Linked DNA regions of Callithrix jacchus. The protein of the gene in region 2 interacts with the protein of the main gene of each other region in a biochemical or structural test. Links are inferred from orthologs where the notes say so. Each region holds a gene or a part of one and is shown on either strand. Other genes may lie near its edges. The genes, in order: GRK2, ADRB2, MAGI3, NHERF1 and GRK6.

Region 1 (3,971 bases), on a different chromosome or scaffold from region 2:
AGCAGAGAGGGAGTTGAGAGAGGGGCATGTTGAAATATGAATGCTGCCTTGAGACACTTGGCTTTCCCCACTCTGGGTGGACTCTCAGCAGGGTGGTTTTTCCCTGCCAGGTTTCCCCACAGTGAAACCTCTGTGCCCTCCACAGCTGGGAGAGGTTTTACCCCACATGTGGAACAATCATGAAGGAGCATCTGGAAGGGATTGGGTACAGGGAAGGGAGCTGCCAAGCATGCTGGCCAGGGACCTGGGTCTACGAGCCGGTTGGGGGGTGAGGTTGGGTGCAGGGTCCTTGATCCTGAGTGTGCCTCCTGGGCCAGGATTGGTTCTGGAGTAGGAGGGGTGGGACGGGGGATGGGGGAAGCCTGTAACTGGAATGCAGTTGTCAGGTTCCAGGTTCTGGGCGACCTACTAAGGATTCTGGGTCCCGTGTGGGCCCCAGGTTGGATGTCCTAGTCCTGAGTCCGTGTCCACAGTTCTGGGTGTTGGGTCTAGGACAGTGGTCTGGAGTTGGTAGTCCAAGTCTAGGTCTGAAGCCTGACCCCAAGTCTAGGTTCAGGGTCATGGTAGTGGCCTGGAGTCAGAATCAAGGTTGGGGTCAGTAACCAGGATGGGACCGAGGTCATGGTCCAAAATCTGGATCTGGGACCTGTTGGGAATCTGGAGTGAGTGTCACAGTCTGAGTATGGCGTTGGAGACCCAGGGCTGTGACATGAGGTCATGGTCGGAGTCTGAGGTGGTGGGCCAAGTTTGAGTCTGGAGTCTGGTGTTAGGTCGTGACTGCGTCCAAGGCCAGGGAGTACGGGGTTAAAGCCAGGGTCTGAGATGGAAGCCCTGGGATCGTGTTCCAAGGTCTGAATCTGTGTCTCGGTGAGCGTCCAGGGTCCTTGTGATCCACATCTGGTGTCAGGGCCACGGCCTGATTGGGGAGCCTGGAATCCAGAGATGTGACCCGAGGTTATGGTCAGGGAGTGGGTCTGGGGTCGTCTTCGGTGCCGGGTCCCTGTCGTGTTCCAGGCCCGGGTCGCCGCCCAGCATCCAGGGCCGCGGTCAAGGCCAGGGGCTGAGCCCGCGGTCTCAGGTCTGGTTCGGGGTCAGGCTCCGCGCGGCCTCCAGGGGGCGCCGCCGCCCGCCCGGCTCGGGCCCTAGCGGGCTCGCTGGCGCTGTGCGCGGCAGGCGGGGCCGGAGGCGGCAGCGGCTCCGGGGCGCGGGCGCGCGGGCGGCGGTGGCGGCGGCGCCCCGACTGCAGTCCCGGCGGGAGCGGAGCGCAAGCCGGGGCCGGGCCCGAGCCGGCGCCATGGGGCGGCGCCGCCTGTGAGCGGCGGCGAGTGGAGCCGCGGGCGCCGAGTGGGGCCAGGAGGGAGGCGGCGGCGCCCGAGGCCGAGCGAGCCGCGGCCGGGCCGGGCCGAGCGCCGAGCGAGCGGGAGCGGCGGCGGCGGCGGCGGCGGCGGCGGCGGCGGGAGGAGGCAGCGCCGCCGCCAAGATGGCGGACCTGGAGGCGGTGCTGGCCGACGTGAGCTACCTGATGGCCATGGAGAAGAGCAAGGCCACACCGGCCGCGCGCGCCAGCAAGAAGATCCTGCTGCCCGAGCCCAGGTGAGGAGAAGCCGCCCACGGCCCCAGCCGGACCCCACGGGCGCCCCGGACGCGGCCCCAGACCAGGGACCCCGCGCTCGACCCCGCGACCCGGACTCCCGAGGCCGGTCCTCGAGACCCCCTGTCGGCCTCCCAGCCCGGAGCAGCGTGGCCTTGGCGCCTGCGGATCCAGACCGTAAGCCCCAGACCCTGGCGCCTGAGCCTAGAGCGCCCCGACTCCTGAGCTCTTCTGCCCCATCGGCCCCCGGATCCCCTCGGATACCCCAGGCCGCCCTGCTGCCTCCTTATCGCGCTCCGTCGGCCCCCCGCCCCGCCGGTCGCTGTCAGCCTCTCGCTCCCGCCTTCTCCCACAGGGACCCGGTGCACCCCTTCATCCTCCTAGCAGCCCTTGGTCCCTGTGGGGTCCTCTCCCCTCCGCCGGCCACCATTTACCTCGCCTGACCATGTCATCCACCCTTTTGCTGTCCCTGTTCCCGGGCACCCGCCTTGGGGTTTCTACTACCCCCACCCGTCTCTCCTATCTACACTTATGTGAGGTGTGGGGGGACAGCCAGTCTTCCGGACTCTTCTCCCACCCTCTGGTGGGGTCGCTGTCCTGGAGTTGGGCTTGAGAGTGCTTTCAGGGCGGCGTGGTGTGCAGGACCTGGGGTGCTGCGGGCACCCACCCCCTCAGACTGCGCTCAGGTGGGGGAAACATCCCCTGTGCCCTCTCCCCCACATTCCTTCTCTGGCGGGCCCTGCATATGGTGCCCTGTGGGTGCTGTTAACCAGGGACCCTCCCAGCACACCTGCAACAGCTGGACCTTAGCTGCCACCTCTCTGTAAGTCAACTGACATCACACCTGGTATCAAAGTTTAGACTGTTCAGGATGTAGTTGCAAAAGTACACAGGATGTGGACGATTGCTGCGGTTTGTCCAGCATTTTATGGCTGATAGAGTCTCCACTGTGTGAGCCTCTCAGCAGCTCATGGGGTAGGGAGGACAGGTGTGGCTTTTGTCCCTGTGGAACAGGTGGGGAAACTGAAGATCCAGAGGTGAGTAGCCTGTCCAGAGTCACACAGGTAGTCCCAGGTAGCATCTGGCCAACAGATCAGGGCTTCAGACTTCCGGTTCTACATTTCATTGGCTCCTCTGGCCTGTGCCAGGGAGCAGATGTGCCCGCCACGATTCCTTGTGTCGTGTGGCAACTCCTTGTGCATGCTTGACAGTTAGCCTCCTGGTGCCCACTGGGGCCTGTCCACACTGCTGTGGTCTTATCGTGTGACTCTGGGTCTTATCTTATGACCTACCCTTCCCGCACTGGGCCTTGGTCTTCTCATCTGTGAAATGTGGATGGCGTGAAATAAGAGCTGTGACTCTGCGGTGTCCCTCGGCCTTTGAAGCAGCCATCTCAGCCCCAGCTGACACTGCAGGGCTGCCATGCCTATGGCCTTCACTGGCCCCCTCTGCCATGCCCTGCTCACCGGTGTTCAGATTGCCTGAACATCAAGCCTGAGAGAGGAAAATTGGTCTGCATTTTGAAAAGGCCGTTAGGGCCTTTATTTTTTTCTAAGACATTTACAATCAGATTTCTCAAAACAGGAACCAGACTGACTGTCAGCTGGGGGCTGTCCAGGGAGCAGTGACAGTTAGTACAGAAACGAGTTCAGAAATGACAGCGCCACGAGGGAGGAAACGGGGGAGTCAGCCTCTAGGGCTCGAAACGGCTCTCCTTGGTGGCCGCAGCCTCGAGATCCCCCTGCAGGATGGAGTTCTGCAACGTGTGAGGCGGGGCCTTTTCTGGAACTGTCTGCCTTCGGGTGATCTCTCCCCAGAATGCATTGCTTCAGATGGGGCGCCGCCTTGGCTTGGCTCTGCAGGTGTTGGAACCCTGAGAAATGAGATGTTCTTTCCCTGTCCCCTTGCCTGTCCATGGTAGTGATGACGGTGATAGCAATAATGATAGGAATTATTACTGACTTGCTTATTTTGACATCTGTCATCTCAATTCAGCCAACAACCAACCTGTGAAGCTGGCAAGGTGATGCCTGGCATGTGGTAGTTGCTCAAGAAATACCAGGACTGTGTGATGCCCCATGCAGTCCTGAACAGAAACAAGATCAGTTGGGATTCTAGGAGGACAGCAGGAGGCCGAGCCGGGCAGCCTAGATTTCACATTGGGTCACCATCAGCAGCATGGCTTTCGGCATATTGCCCACATCCACTAGTTCCAAATGTCAGTATGCTGAGGCCTGGGAAGGGCTGCGGGCTGCCCTGCCTGGGGCTCCAGGGCTGGGGCATTGGAGGCAGGCCACCCTTTTCGTAATGCCTTGCATACCCAGGGGTTGCAGAGGCTCCCCCACCCGGGAAGGTGATCCTGCCGTGTCTCACGTTTGCC
Region 2 (4,312 bases):
AGCTCAGGGGCTCTTTTGCAACGTCTGGAGACATTTTTGCTTGTTATAACCTGGGGGTGCTATTGGTATCCAATGAATAGAGACCAGAGGTGCTAAACATCAAAGAGTTATCCGGTCCAAAATGCTAATAGTGCCAGGGCTCAGAACCTTGGTTTAGACTGAAGCGAGGAGAGTCAATGGGAGAAGAAAACAAGGACCAAAGGAAGGAAGAAAAAGGGGTTAAAATTCTGTTTTGAGGTCATGAGGTATCCATCAGTTACATGTTCTCCAGCTTTTCTCCCCATGTCCAATGCCTTTTAATTATTCCGTGGGATTGCAGGGCCATGTTTGAGTAGCTTTTTCATAGGAACATCTTCCTTGTACCTAAAATTCCAAGCCCTGATGCAGTACAAAGAGCTCCACTATAAGACATGGCCAAGACATAAATACAAGCAGTTATGAAACAAGTAGAACTGGAAGGTGGGCAGTGGGGGTGCGTGAAGGGAAGAAAACATATGCCTATAACGCCGTTTCTATGAGTCAGTGTTGCTGAGGTAACAACACAGAACAATAACCATAGGGAGAGCTGAGCTATACTAAGAGCAGGCAGAACTGATTCGGAGCACAAGTGTCAGGAGAGACGCAGCTTTGCAGCAACAGATTCAAAAGCAAATGAAAGGGTTAAGCAATCTGTGCATGTCATTCCGTATCATTCCACATTAAGTCATGGGCAGTTATTACAAGTAGTTACCTGTGGTTTCCAGTGGGGGAGGAAACGGCACTCCAGTCAAGGGGTTTTGGAGAAACAGGTGCAGCGAAGGCATGGTCAAACAATTTATTTACTGTAAACTTTAGACTTTGCTCAGGAAAACAACTGAAACTGCCCCTCGAATCCCTGCCTAAAATACCCCGTGTAAGCAAATAAGAGGAGCGGGGAAGAGTCCATGTTCACAGCTAAAAGGTCCAAGATACTCAAAATCCTCAAGTTCAAGGGTGTAGGAAGGAAAATCTCCTTCGGATACAAATTACCAGCAGCAATATATTACCCCTAATACTTAAATAGTGAGGTAGATACATGGAAAAATCATCAAAACATAGCAGACCCAGGTCCTCTAGGACTAAAGCCCTTCAGACATAAACTTATAAGTTCCATGCAAAGAGGAACTGAACTGTACAAATAACAAATAATCAAATAAGTTTTCTCTCTTTTTACAGCTTAAAAAAATAAAAAAGGCAGAAGGGTGCCCCTCCTCCTGCATATCTCTATACAATTTTATTCTAAGTTTATTACACTCAAGTTAAATAGTCTGTTTAGTGTTCTGTTGGTGGGGGCGTTCTTATAAAGTAGAAAAACTGCTTTACAGCAGTGAGTCATTTGTACTACAGTTCCTCCCTTGTGAATCAATGTTATCGCTAGGCACAGTACCTTGATGGCCCACAAAGTCTTCCGTGCCTGGAAGGTCTTCACACAGCAGTTTATTTTCTTTCTCCTGTTCCAGGTGATATCCACTCTGCTCCCCTGTGTTGCCGTTGCTGTTGCTGGAGTAGCCATTCCCATAGGCCTTCAAAGAAGACCTGTGCAGGCACAGAAGTTCCTGGAAGGCAATCCTGAAATCTGGGCTCCGACAGTAGATAAGGGGGTTGAAAGCAGAGTTGACATAGCCCACCCAATTTAGGAGGATGTAAACTTCCTTAGGGATGAGGTTATCCCGGATCACATGCACAATGTTGACGATAAAGAAGGGCAGCCAGCAGAGGGTGAAAGTGCCCATGATGATACCTAACGTCTTGAGGGCTTTGTGCTCCTTCAAGCAGAACTTGGAAGACCTGCGAAGTCCATGTCCCGTCCGCCCGTCCTGCTCCACCTGGCTAAGGTTCTGGGCATGGAAGCGGCCCTCAGATTTGTCAATCTTTTGGAGCTGCCTTTTGGCCACCTGAAAGACTCTGGAGTAGACGAAGACCATGACCACCAGGGGCACGTAGAAGGACACGATGGAGGAGGCAATGGCATAGGCTTGGTTCGTGAAGAAGTCACAGCAGGTCTCCTTGGCATAGCAGTTAATGGCTTCCTGGTGGGTGGCCCGGTACCAGTGCATCTGAATGGGCAAGAAGGAGGTAAGGCCTGACACGATCCACACCATCAGAATGATCACCCGGGCCTTATTCTTGGTCAGCAGGCTCTGGTACTTGAAGGGTGAAGTAATGGCAAAGTAGCGATCCACCGCGATCACGCACAGGGTCTCAATGCTGGCCGTGACGCAAAGCACATCAATGGAAGTCCAAAACTCACACCAGAAGTTGCCAAAAGTCCACATTTTCATGAGAATATGGCTGGCCCCAAAAGGCACCACTGCCAGGCCCATGACCAGGTCAGCACAGGCCAGTGAAGTGATAAAGTAGTTGGTGACAGTCTGCAGACGCTCGAACTTGGCAATGGCTGTGATGACCAGCACATTGCCAAACACAATGGCCAGGACGATGAGCGACATGACGATGCCCATACCCACCACCCACGCCTCGTCCCGTTCCTGCGTGACGTCGTGGTCCGGCGCGTGGCTTCCATTGGGCGCCAACAAGAAGGCGCTGCTGTTCCCGGGTTGCCCCATGGCGCGCAGTCTGGCAGGTGAGCGCACTGGCTGCCGGCGCCTCAGCGGGCGGATCCCCGGCGGGGCTCTGAGGGCCGCGAACGGACGCCTGGAAGCCTCATTCAGCGGCCGTGAGGTGGGTGTGGTGGGGGCACGTCCTGCACACTTAGCTTGTCGGGTGCTAGGGGCTCACGATGCCAGCCAGTTCCAGCCCGCCCTCTGGAGAAGCCGCCTCGGAGTGCGTACTGCCCGTTATGTGCACAGGACTTTAGGAGAACTGCCCTCGCTGTGACGTGCGGGAACTTTCGGCCAATGGCACGCCGGCAGCCCCGTAGGGGCGAGGCACCCCTCCGCTTTCCTCCCCTCCCCTCACCCTCCCTCTCCCGGGGCTGGCCCGGGCGGGGCCCAGCTGCTCTTTGGCGGGCGGGCCACCACTCCTTCCCGGCTACCCGGGCTGGCCCCAGAGGGCTAAAGCTGGAGCTGGCGTGCTTACCAGCCAACCCGGGAGCTTTTTTGGCTCTTCTGTGGCCGCTACCTGCCTGCCCTGGGAGCCTGTGCAGTCTGAGGTCTCAGGGCAAAGGGCAGCACACCGGCACTGCCCCACATACGGAGGGAAACGAGAGTGCCCACCGAGGCACGCACATACAGGCACAAATACACCCCGGCAGACATGCTCAGACTTATACGGAACCACAGCCATAGACACGGAGACACACCCTCCCAGGGCACCCGCAGGCACACTCGCGAGCGCGCTCACACAGAAGCCGTCAGGCACAAAGTCACCCCTGTCCAACACAGAAACGCGGCCAGAAACAAACACAGAAGCACCAGAAGCACAAAGGCATCGTGACACACACAAAAAGTAAACACAAGCCGGCTTAGAGGCATGCAGAGCGACACAGAGGCGGATGTCTCTATCTGGGTACTCACAAACTTCCCCCACCTGAGCGCTGATAATGCCCCTCTCCCAACATACACCCAGTAACCCAGTATATTCCCTTTCAGACATTTGGCAAGACCGCAGGAGGTGACTTCAGCAGCTGCCGATTTCCTCAGCACACTCACTGTCAAGTACTTTCGGTGCCCTCTTTGGGAATTTGCAGGCATCAAGACAGTTTTACCCTTTGGATTTCATTCGGAGAGGGGGTAAGGATGTATGTATTTTGGGATGGAGAGAGAAAGTTCTGTGCTTTCGTTTTAGTTTCGTTTTGTTTTTAACTCTTAATAAGAGTGTGGCATCACTCACTCATCTGTTGGACAGGAGATGCACTGAGAATTCAAACAATTTCTTCAGTAATCCCAATGCAACTAAAAAAAATCCTTTCATCCTCTGGATAGTTTGTTAATCTTTCAGGTTGAGCCATATGAAATTGCCACCATTTGGTGTCTGTGACTTACCAAAACGGCAAATTCATATGATTCAGAGTATTAAGAATGTCTTAAGATTAAGAACTTTTTGAAACTATAGAAAGCAAAAGATAATTCTCCCTTAAAAAAATAAAGTAAGACCAAATCTCAAAACTAAGATCTTTGTTCACAAAACACTACCCTTTGCATCTGGCATGTGACTTTACCTCTAAAGTTAAATTAATTTTCAGGGTTTGATTTCCCATGTATTAGTGGTGCCTTTGAAAAACTGAAAGTAATTCATGAAGTGTAACTAAACATACTTTGTAGATTACATAATAACTAACAATGGCTAACATTTATGGTCCATTCTGCTATGTACTTTTCATGCATTAGTCTAT
Region 3 (3,512 bases), on a different chromosome or scaffold from region 2:
AGTATTTGGGAAGTTGGATGGACTGCTGTTACCTACATCTTCACTTAGATTATGCCCAAAGCTCACATATGGGGCTGCTTTTCTATTCTTTATATTATTAGAAACTGATTTTTTCTGTGAGAGGCTTACCATAAAAACACTTTATAAAGTCACAAGAAATTATGATGTTCCAGAAATATCAAAACTGCTTATGTTTACTATAGAAAAACAACCTGAGGACGACAGCTCTCAGGCCTTCATTTCAACACAGAATGGATCTCCCCGCCTGAACCGGGCAGAGGTCTCAGCCAGGCCTGCACCCCAGGAGGCCTATGATGTTGTCTTGCAGCGAAAAGAAAATGAAGGGTTTGGCTTTGTCATTCTCACCTCCAAACACAAACCACCTCCAGGAGGTAAGGACTGTTGCTTCTTGTTGTCTCTCCCTGCAAGCCCAGTTTTCTGAGGCTCCCACTGGAGTTTATGAAATAATTAGGAACTATGTAAAGTCCCTTAGATACCTATCTTTTTAAGAATGGTGAATACTTTCCTTATTTTCAAAATTAGGTAATCTGAACCAAACCTTCCAGGCTTCAGGTTTATCTATCATCTCAGATTCCATAAAATATTTAATAAGTTTCAGTAAGCTCCATTTGCATCAAGGTTATACTGAGATAGTATGTCATAGATATGGATTTAATGAAAGGTATAATGCTGAGTTTTTTTAAATGGGGACATAGGTTTTGAAAATTAGAATAAATCATATATGTAGAAAAGAAATACTAGAAGCAGTTGAGAAGAAGCGAAGCAGATTAATAGAAAAATCTTAACCCAAATATGTTTTAGTTATTTCATGTTATTATTCAATAATAATTGTCATATTCCAGCTATAAATTATCCTTGTTGAATGATAAGAGGCATACCTTTTATAAATGTTTCATTAAAACATAAAAATTTTGTCAACAATTGGAAAATGAATCTAAATATCTTGAATTGAGTTTAACAGAATATTCTAATCCAGAAAGATGAATTTATTTATAACAGTTCCATCATCAAAGAAGGAATTACATCCAGTATATTCAGGGCTATTACGATTCAGCAAATGAAATATTTGTCTTGATGCTTCTATAAAATAATTTTTAATATAATTATAAAATCCAGTTGAATATGAGAACCAGCTTCAAGTCAAATGATAAAAATCTTTGACCACATGAAAATGTGCTCTTGCCTTTACAAGTCAGTTTGATTTTATTTTAGATAGTGAGATCCTTTTTGACCAAGTGAGTGGTTGCTAAAACTTTAGTTTAAAAAAAAGAAAACACTTTTAGGAAAGTGTTGTGAGCCAAATCAGTTTGCAAAAATCTTGCTAAAATTAATGCAAGTGTATAAAGGGAAAAAGAGTCCATGACATGGATGAGTTATTGCTTATAGTATTAGGTCCCTGCTCACTGATGCTAGTTTCCATTTTCCCAAAGCAGTTGCCATGGGAACACTTGGAACTGGAACTGTCACTGATGCTGTGAGGATGATTATATGGTCTGTGTCAGAAAAATGAAGGGAAAGCAGCTTTTAGTTGGTTTTTCATGTTGTATCATTGGAAGTCAGTACTTCCAAAAACAGATAACCATTTAGGATAATGATACTGTCAATCTCATAACATGCAGTGACCCCAGGCATTCAGATTAACTAAAACAGTGAGAGAGTATTACTCTAGTGGATAGTAGATAATCTAGAATCTAGTAGATTACTCTAGTAGATAGATGCTAACCACCTTTTATATTGAAGATATTCCCTTTCTAGTAGTACAGAAATTTGGGGAGAGTCTGGTGTTCACCATAAAACTAACCTATATACAGGAATTCAGTAAAATAAGTTGTATTGCTTAAATATGTTTATTAAGTATTTTTATATGTATATATTTGTAAATTTTTAAAAATTTTTAAATGTTTAAGTAGTTTTATATTTCCTTGTTTAAATCATGTTTTACAAAATTTTGATGATTTTACTTATGGATATGCTTCATCTCTATATAAGATAGTGTCATTAAATGTTGGGTTTTGTAATCTGACAAACTTGGATTCAAGTCCTGCTTATATCTTTTAATAGTTGTCTGATCTTGGGCAAATTACTTTCCCTCAGAGAGCTCGAGTTTATTCCATAAAATGAGGATGGTAGAGACACTTCCTGTCTCATGAATGTGAAGATTAAAGGAGCCAGGGTATGTGAAGCCCTTAGCCGAGGCCTTCAGTAAATGTTAGCTGCTGTTGCCTGTTGTAGCTTCTGCTGTCATTGTTATCACCATCATTATTATTTAGAAAATTATCACCATCTCTTGACTTTTCTTTTAAAAAAAACTTAGAATTTCATCAATACTTAATAATGAGATGGGAAAGAAAGCCCAATTAAAATGTAAGATTGAGGCAGCAGCTAAGATGTGGCAGGAAATGAGTATTTGCAGCTCATTAATTATCAGGCTGAATGGTAAATTAGGCTTAGGTTGCTGATGAATTTTATATAAAATACTTGAGATTTCTAGTCAACGTATAAAACCAGAATTGATCATCTAACTGAAATGCTAGTTAATAATCTCATAAAATGTTGAGGCCTGTGAGTATTCTTCTTAGAATTTTATTTTTCACATATAGACAGGAAAAGGGTCCTGGGGCAAATTCAAATGAGGAGCTTTTACTCACAGACATCGAACACTTGCTGCAAACTGTATGACAGAGAAGATTTGGTTCAGAAAGGAGTTAGCACAGGTGGAAAGGCAGGAAACCTGTCTGCCAGAATAAATCATTCTTTTTTTTTTTTTCCAGATAGAGTTTCGCTCTGTCATCTGAGCTGGAGTGCAGTGGCACAATCTGGGCCCACTGCAACCTCTGCTTCCTAGGTTTACGTGATTTTCGTGCCTCAGCCTCCTGATTAGCTGGAATTACAGGCATATGCCAACACGCCTGGCTAATTTTTTTCTATTTTGAGTGGAGATGGGGTTTTGCAATGTTGGCCAGGCTGGTCTCGAACTCCCGACCTCAGGTGATCCACCCACCTTGGCCTCCCAAAGTGCTGGGATTTCAGGCATGAGCCGCTTGCCTGGCCAGATCATTTTTTATGGACCTCGTCTTGGGTATTTTCTGATGACATATATCTCAAGAATAGTTCATAGTAGCATCCTTGGTACCTGTTATGGAATTCTGAGTTTCTCTACTGTTGACTTTTTCAAAGATCAGGGATCCAGGTTCAGCATCCTCACAATTTGTCCAACTGCTGAAAGAATGAAGTACTTAGAAAAGGCCTCTACATAAGATGAAAAAGACTTGGCTAGTTTTTGCTTTGCCAGGACTTCAGAGCTTTTAGTGTTATTCCTTCTTACCATATAGTTTTTAGTTCTGGTTGCAAAAGATTTCTTTGAGAAGGGAACATTTCCAGTTACTGATCTTTCTTTTCCTGAAAAGAAATGTTTTAAGAGCGCTAGAGTGATCCCAGGATCTGGACAAGCCAGGCTGCGAGACAGATTTAGGCCAAAGATGAATGAAGAT
Region 4 (4,127 bases), on a different chromosome or scaffold from region 2:
ACCCAGCCAACCACTCTCTGTGCCACACTTTTCCACTGAGATACTCACTTAAGAGCTGATCAAGATAAGGGAACAGCCCCACCTTGCACACAAATTCAAATGAAAACAAACTGGCAAACCTCAATTTGATGCTTTATATAGGAAAGGGATGCGTTTTAGAAAAAATAGCTCTTACAATGTTTGTTAACATTTCTTGCAATAACCGCATGGGCCATCCGCAAGCTTCACACAGAACGGTGTGGGATTTTCTGCTAGAGGGACTCAGTGGTGCTGACTGTGAGTCAGTTTGAAGCAGCTGGGATTCAAACGCCTGGGCATGACGCAGTGCAGCTCAGTATTGAGTAAGGGGCTTGAGTACTTCACATCATTTCTAAAGTTCTAGAGAAGGCAGGCATAACATCATCCAATGCCTCCACCTCACAGACGGGAGAACCAGAGCTCAGAAATCCTGGGACTTGGCTGGTGATAGTGTCCCCAGGGTTTGCTGGTGGCTCTCCTCTCATCTCCTGGTCTAAGGAAGTACACACAAATGTAGGTGTCCCTCTAAAACCTGCAAGAATCAAATTCTGTGCTCACCCAGGAAGCTCAAAGCCACGGCTTTTGAGTGTGTGTGCTACGCCAAGCCTCCACAGGAGCCTCCCAGGCCCTCTGGCACCCAGCAGCGTAACCAAAAGGGCAAAGGGAGGAGCTGAATGAGACTGCAACTTGCAGTAGGGTGGGGGTATCCGTGAGTGCCAAAGTCCAAAAAAAAAAAAAAAAAAGGGTCAAATCGATCGATGGACTCAGCACAAAGTTCACACTGGATTTCTGCCTGGGATTAAAGATCATTGGCCCCAACCTCTGGTGTCAACCCCTTGCTCTGGGTGCTCCGATCCCTTCCCCCACCCCTTGCCAATGCCAGCTTGGCAGGGGCAGGAAGTGGGAGCCTGGTGGCCCTGGCATTCCCAGCACCCAGCTCTGGCCGGACAGGTCTCTGGTGACCTCACTTCCACCTAACCAGTTGATCCCCTACCTAGGGCTTTGCCTTCCACCTTAATGCTGAACTGTGTGGTCTCTCTGTCCACGGAGGATCCTCCTGGCCCCACGGACACTCCCACCACACACTGCCACCAGGGAGAGCTGGTGCAAGCTGAAGGGGCCCTGGGAGGCTCAGGCCCTGCCCTTCGCAGTGTGCACCCGAAGCTTCCTCACTCCACTCTCTGGGGACAGGAGACTCAGCACAACTCCTGTTTTGCCAGCTGCCCCTCCTGCAGCTGATCCAAACCAGGATCCCATGGGCAAACACCAAACATGGGCAAAAAGCAACCGGCCTGCTGGCTCTGTGGGCACGAGTGAGCGTGGCAAGGCCAGGGCAAGACCACCGGCTCGCCACTTGCCTCAAGAGCTCTCTCCCCTCCCCCCAGCCATCTTCCCCTCCTTCCAAGGTCTTCCCCCTCCCCTCCCTGATACAGGCGCTTACTCCTCACATTCCTGAGTCGTAAATCCTCCTGGGTGGCAGAACCACCACTCAGAGATGCCTTGACTCCTCCTCCCGCCAAGCACCCCCACACCGCCCTGAGATGGCGGGGCTTTCTCTCCCTTGGAAGTTACACCGCACTCCGGGAGGATGAAGTCCAGCAGGGCTGAAGCTGATTGCACACACCGGCGGGCTGAGGGAGGGCCACCTCGCGCCGGGGCTCCGCACAGGAGGAGGAAGGGCTATTCCTCTAGCTTTTGAAGTAGGGGTGGTGGATGAAGCTGGCACCTCTGGGGCGGAGAGTCCTTCCTCCCGAGCCCATCTGCGGACTGGGGTGAACGATGAGAGGGCGCCAGGGAGGGGCAGGATTGGTGGATTACGAGCAGACACAGACCTGAGGGAAGGGGGACTGGGTTCCCCTGCGCTGCCCTCTCAAGGGCCAGGGAACAAGAGGTGCAGGTGGCAAAGGCGCTCAGGCTCCCAGCACAGCCAGGGAAGGAGAGAGGTCGCGGGACGCAGCCCCAGGCCTGCCTAGGATCTACCAGGGAGCCTGGTCGGCGGGCGGAAGCCGTCTCCCCCTCGCAGTTAGAGTTTTCAGAAAGACAACGGCGGGCGCGGGGCTGGACGGCCGTGGCGCCTGGGTCCCTCCCGATCCCCCTCCCACCTCATTCCAGCCGGCGCCGCCCCGGCCCGGCTTACCTGCTCCGGGTGGCTCTTGTCGGCCTCGCTAGGCTCATTTTCGTTGCCAGCCCCCTGCGCCTCGGCGGCGGCTGGCGACTCGGCCTTGCCCGGCGCTTCCTGGGTGCGCAGCAGCTCCTCGCGGACCTGGACGCCGAGCTTCTGCAGCTGCTCGTCCGTCTCGGGGTCGACCACCAGCAGGCGCACGGCGTTGAGCGCGGCGCGGATGCGGCTCACCACCTGCTGGTGGGTCTCCTTCTCCACGTTCTCGCCGTTCACCTCCACCAGCCGGTCCCCGGCCAGCAGCCCTGCCTTCTCCGCCGGCGAGCCGGGCTCCACCAGCCGGATGTACTGGCCCACCTTGCCCTTCTCGCCGTGCAGGTGGAAGCCGTAGCCGTTCGGACCCTTTTCCAGGCAGCAGAGCCGGGGCAGGGGCGCCCCGGCCGCCGCGTCCGCGCTCATCTCGCCCTGCGACGACTCAGCTGCGCCACTCGGGGTTCCGTTGGAGACGGGACGGCTCAATCCTTCTTCCCGCCCAGAGAACCGGGAACGCAGCAGGGAAGCCCAGCGCCGCGGGACCGGCGAAGCGAGCAGGTGTCCCGGGAACCGCCGGCCGCCGCGAGCCTTGAGGAGTAAAGAAAGGAGCGCGGACCAATCCCCGCCTCGCTCGGCGTCTGAGCTTTCCAGAGCCCGCCCAGGCTCCTTACCCCGGGGGCGGGGCCACGCAGAGGGTGTGGGACTCCGCGAGCCAATCGGAGGCCGCGGGCCGGGGCGCTGCTGCCGGGTGAACGGCGCCGGCCAATGGAAACGCGTGGGGCGGGGCCTGTCCTCGGCGCGGAGCCCAGTGGCGGGCGAAGACAGAGCGCTCAGGAAGTGGAAGTGTTTGTTGCCGAGCTGCCGGCGCTGGGGTGGCAGGGGCGGGGCCCGCTCAGTTCTCGGTTCTGGGTGGTGGGGCCCACCGGCTCCGGCCTGGTTTCCCCTGCCTGTGGCGGAGAGTGAGGAGAGGCCCTCTGGTAAAGGGACTCTTTTTTTCTTATTTATTTATTTATTTTGAGACGGAGTCTTGCTCTGTCTCCAGGCTGGAGTGCAGTGGCGCGATCTCGGCTCACTGCAGCCTCCGCCTCCTGGATTCAAGCGATTCTCCTGCCTCAGCCTCCCGAGTAGCTGGGATTACAGGCGCCCGCCACCACGCCCGGCTATTTTTTTGTAGATTTAGTAGAGACGGGGTTTCGCCGTGTTGGCCAGGCTGGTTTCAAACTCCTCACCTCAGGTGATCCACCCACCTCGGCCTCCCAAAGTGCTGGGATTACCGGTGTGAACCACTGCACTGGCCAACGTTTTAACAGCCTTTAGCCAAAGCATGGGTGCAGCTCTGCTTAAGGGGGACCGGCTGTTGCCGGGGCAACGGCTCCCGCGGGGCAGCGAGGGCCAGGCAGTCTTGAGAATTAAGACTGAGAGCCTCCTCGGACCCTATAGAGTTGTTTGAATAACATTTTTCCGTTTGTGGGAACCCTAACGCTAACCCACTTTGCACTGTCAGGCAGCGCTGCCTGACACTTGGCACTCCTCGCATAGAGGAGTGCAGGTTCTGATTCCTGCTTGGGAAGGTGCAGAGGTGCGGGCTCGGTGGAGAGCCTGGGACCTCGAGGGGCAACTCACTGAAGACAGGACACCTAGGGCAATGGCATGGGCTTTGGTGTCAGCGTTTGGCTAGGGAGGTGGGATGGGGAGAGGCAGAACAGACTCAGATAATCAGCCTCTGGGTACACTCCACAGGGAACAGAGCCTTGGTTTTTTTTTTTTTTTTTCCAACAGAGAAAGAAAAATGATTAGGACTGTAAGATAAGCCTTTAGCTCCCTCTTGCCAAAGAGAGGCTGGTCACAGAGGTAGGGAGTCTGTTAAGGGGGGAACTGACCCTCAGGAGAGACACTGAGAGGAGGATGGAATGATTTTGGCAGTGAATGACAATTCCGTCAACAGGACACCCCTCCC
Region 5 (3,512 bases), about 21 Mb from region 2:
CTCAATGGGCTCCTGCAATACTTCCTCCTCCAGGCAGCTTAGGTCAGGGAGTCATCGAGGGACCTTGCTTTGCCCCCTCCCTAGAAGGCAACTTCTACCCTTGCACCACCTGCCCTCACCCAGGCCAGATAGATACAGGACTGGAAAACCAGAGGGAAACTGAAGCCCAGCATGAGAAAGTGGTTGTCTAAGGTTGCCATAGAATTGTTGGAGCTGGGGCTCACCTCTTGATTCAGCCCTACTCGATGTGGACGGTATCTCCTATTCACCACATAACACACATGGAGAAACAGGTTCACAGATAGCAAGTGATGGGCTTACAGTGTGACTCAGAAATTCAGACCCAGCTCTGGGAGGCTCAGGCCCCTTCCCTCCTAAACCTGGTGGCCCATAGGCCACACACATTTGGCTCCCTCTCTGACACATTTTATTTATTTGGCTGCAGTGAGGTTTTTTTTGTTTTTTTTTTTTGAAACAGAGTCTTGCTCTATCGCCAGGCTGGAGTGCAGTGGCGTGATCTTGGCTAATTGCAACCTCTGCCTCCTGGGTTCAAGCAATTCTTCTGCCTCAGCCTCCCAAGTAGCTGGGATTACAGGCATGAGCCATCACACTGGCTAATTTTTGTGTTTTTAGTAGAGATGGTGTTTCATCATATTGGCTAGGCTGGTCTTGAACTCCTGACCTCATGATTCACCCACCTTGGCCTCCCAAAGTGCTGGGATTACAGGCATGAGCCACCATGCCTGGCTTTTTTTTTTTTTTTGAGACAGTTTCACTCTTGTTGCCCAGGCTGGCGTGCAGTGGCACACATTCAGCTCACTGTAAGCTCCGCTTCCCAAGTTCAAGCAGTTCTCCTGCCTTAGCCTTCTGAGTAGCTGGGATTACACACATGCGCCACCACACCTGGCTAATTTTGTATTTTTAGTAGAGATGGGGTTTCTCCATATTGGTCAGGCTGGTCTTGAACTCCCGATCTCACATGATCCGCCTGCCTTGGCCTCCCAAAGTGCTGGGATTAGAGGTGTTAGCCACTGTGCCTAGCCCTGTTTTTTTTTTTTTTTTTTTTTTAATAAAATGGGGGCCAATATTTTATGTAAGAGTGAATTTCTAGCTGCTTTTGAAAAATCAGAAGAGCTGGCTTGGCCACACTGAGCCAGAAACCCGCCTAGCAGCAATCAGGCAATCTGCTGGAGTTGTGCTACAGCTGCCTGTTAGAGGGGCCTTCTCTGTTCCTGGTCATCTCACATCTGGCCCACGTTTCCCATACCTGTTGGGCTCTGCAGGCAATTGAGCTGTCGTGGACTCAGCCGCTGCAGATGGGGGTCTGCGAGGTCAAGCAAGGCAGGCAGGGGGCCGTGGAACCCCTGTGTGCAGGGGAAGGAAAGTCCTGAGTGTCTCCCCTTGCCCCTGCCTTGCTTGAGCATCTGATAGCCATGATGTGGAGCCTGGCGATAGAGGTCTGGGAGCCCCCTTGTTCCAGGCTGCCCTGTACATCTCTCGGGCTTGCCCTGCTGTCCTAGAATCTTTCCCTCCTGGACCTTCTGCAGTTCCCACCACTGTGATGCCCTTCTCTCCTTTCTTAACCGGGGGAACTCCTACCTGGTGGGAGGCAACTGAGGCTGGACCCATTGTCAGAGCTATCTCCTCCCCCAGCAACCTTATTGCTCCTCTTGGCTCTCCCAGCTCAGAAGCCTGACGCAGGAGAACCACGTGTGTCCTGGAACGCGGCAAGAGCGTGCTGGAACGTGCTTGGGAAAGCCCAAGGTGCCGCCCAGAGTGGGCTCCGCCTTGGCTGGGCCCTAGAGGCCCTGAGCCTCAATGAGGACCCAGAGGCAGTCCTGGGGCAGTGGGACTTGAGACCCAGTGCCTGATTGCTCCCACAGGTGGCGGTGGGAATCGAAAAGGCAAAAGCAAGAAATGGCGGCAGATGCTCCAGTTCCCCCACATCAGCCAGTGTGAAGAGCTGCGGCTCAGCCTCGGTGAGGCCTGGGCAGAGCCTGGGGATGCTGAGGCGAGGGGCCTTGCTAGGGCCGGGGGAGCCTCCCCTGAGACCTTGCCTTGGGGCAGAGGGGCAGGCTTGGTGGCTCCAGTGAGCAGGAGGATGGGGCTGCACCATTGAGCCTAGCTTCAGTTCCCAGGCTTGGAATGCTTGGAGAGCAGACAACAAACAGGGTCATACTGCTGGAGGTGGTTGAAGTGGTGTCAGGAGTAGGGCAGGGGCAGATTGGGGCAGATGAGTCCGCTTTGGAAAGGAGAGCCAGCTAGGGTGAGCAGCATCCACAGGACAGAGGGAGCGGCAGCTAGGCCAGCCCACAGACTGACTGCCTTGGGAGCCCCAGGCCGGGTCTTAGCCTCCCAGGCCCAGCCTTGAGTGGTGCCTAGCAAAGCCTTGATCAGAAACCCTCAGCCTGGGCAGTGTGACAGGGTTACTCCTGGGAGGGGACAGAAGGGCCCAGGACCCCAGTTCCTGCCAATCTTGGCCAAGGCCCCAGGTCTGAGCAGCACCTAAGGTTGCTGAGGCCCCCCGGTGGCCTGCACATGGCCAGAGCGCACCCAGGCCGCTTCCACCTCCTGGGAAGGAGGCCCAGCTGAGAGCTTGCCGGAAGCCACAGCTTCCTCTCGCACTTTCGCCAGGCAGGCAGCAGGTGTGGGCCTGGCCCAGGCTGGGCTGGGCCGGAACATCACAGACCGCACCCAACCCCGGTACTGTGACATATGCAAGTCATGTAAAGCAGGAGACCATCGCAGGGAGGTGGGTGGAGGCCTGGGCTCTGGAGCCAGATTCCTGGCTGTGTGACATTGAGCTAGTCAGTTAGCTTCTCTGGGCCTCATAGCCCCAACATAGCTGTACCTACCTCAGGGTTGCGGTGAGGATTCTGAAGAAGATCACGGCTGCCACACTGCAGAGCTGGAAGCTGTTGTGGGGGCCCAGAGCCTGGTGGTATGGGCAGGAGTGCCCCATCCATGGGCTCTGGGGTTGTGGACCCAGCAGCTCCCATCTCTGCCCACAGAGCGTGACTACCACAGCCTGTGCGAGCGGCAGCCCATTGGGCGCCTGCTGTTTCGAGAGTTCTGTGCCACGAGGCCGGAGCTGAGCCGCTGCATCACCTTCCTGGATGGGGTGGTGAGTGCAGCCCAGCCCTGCCCAGCCCCATGGGTGGTCAAGGTCTCAGCCTCATGTGCCCTTCCTCCTGTTTCTCTGCTGTTTGCTCTGCCCAGACCTCCAGCTTCTCTGCTTTCCACCCTGCAGGCTGAGTATGAAGTGACCCCAGATGAGAAGCGGAAGGCATGTGGGCGGCGGCTAATGCAGAATTTTCTGAGCCACATGGTGAGTGAGCAGTGATGGAGAGATGACGGCAGCCACTAGAGCCCAGTGACAGGGAGAGGAGTGACCACAGCCTGGGCAGAGACTGCCCTGGAACTGCTCCAGGCAGCACAGTGGGCATGCAGCCCAGGGTATGGGCTGGGCTCCGGCCAGGCAGCCTCCCAGTGCCTCTGCTGCGCTCTGCCTT

Evidence for each region.
Region 1: the proteins of ADRB2 (region 2) and GRK2 form a complex in vitro, tested with the Homo sapiens proteins (2 studies listed by BioGRID, with this or other methods). The link is inferred for Callithrix jacchus from reciprocal best matches to the Homo sapiens genes ADRB2 and GRK2.
Region 3: the proteins of ADRB2 (region 2) and MAGI3 form a complex in vitro, tested with the Homo sapiens proteins (2 studies listed by IntAct, with this or other methods). The link is inferred for Callithrix jacchus from reciprocal best matches to the Homo sapiens genes ADRB2 and MAGI3.
Region 4: the proteins of ADRB2 (region 2) and NHERF1 form a complex in vitro, tested with the Homo sapiens proteins (3 studies listed by BioGRID and IntAct, with this or other methods). The link is inferred for Callithrix jacchus from reciprocal best matches to the Homo sapiens genes ADRB2 and NHERF1.
Region 5: the proteins of ADRB2 (region 2) and GRK6 form a complex in vitro, tested with the Homo sapiens proteins (2 studies listed by BioGRID, with this or other methods). The link is inferred for Callithrix jacchus from reciprocal best matches to the Homo sapiens genes ADRB2 and GRK6.

The regions. Positions count from the first base shown.
Region 1 is NC_133511.1:124,351,320-124,355,290, forward strand, and holds the start of GRK2 (beta-adrenergic receptor kinase 1), read left to right. Parts: upstream 1-1,171; 5' UTR 1,172-1,480; coding exon 1,481-1,593; intron 1,594-1,644; exon of another isoform or gene 1,645-1,768; intron 1,769-3,971. UniProt on the Homo sapiens protein: Specifically phosphorylates the agonist-occupied form of the beta-adrenergic and closely related receptors, probably inducing a desensitization of them. Key regulator of LPAR1 signaling.
Region 2 is NC_133503.1:47,515,385-47,519,696, reverse strand, and holds the start of ADRB2 (beta-2 adrenergic receptor), read right to left. Parts: upstream 2,809-4,312; 5' UTR 2,586-2,808; coding exon 1,406-2,585; intron 1-1,405. UniProt on the Homo sapiens protein: Beta-adrenergic receptors mediate the catecholamine-induced activation of adenylate cyclase through the action of G proteins. The beta-2-adrenergic receptor binds epinephrine with an approximately 30-fold greater affinity than it does norepinephrine.
Region 3 is NC_133508.1:151,613,122-151,616,633, forward strand, and holds part of MAGI3 (membrane-associated guanylate kinase, WW and PDZ domain-containing protein 3), read left to right. Parts: intron 1-203; coding exon 204-392; intron 393-3,512.
Region 4 is NC_133506.1:130,683,586-130,687,712, reverse strand, and holds the start of NHERF1 (Na(+)/H(+) exchange regulatory cofactor NHE-RF1), read right to left. Parts: upstream 2,811-4,127; 5' UTR 2,597-2,810; coding exon 2,156-2,596; intron 1-2,155. UniProt on the Homo sapiens protein: Scaffold protein that connects plasma membrane proteins with members of the ezrin/moesin/radixin family and thereby helps to link them to the actin cytoskeleton and to regulate their surface expression. Necessary for recycling of internalized ADRB2.
Region 5 is NC_133503.1:68,706,481-68,709,992, reverse strand, and holds part of GRK6 (G protein-coupled receptor kinase 6), read left to right. Parts: intron 1-1,883; coding exon 1,884-1,979; intron 1,980-2,860; coding exon 2,861-3,124; intron 3,125-3,250; coding exon 3,251-3,328; intron 3,329-3,512.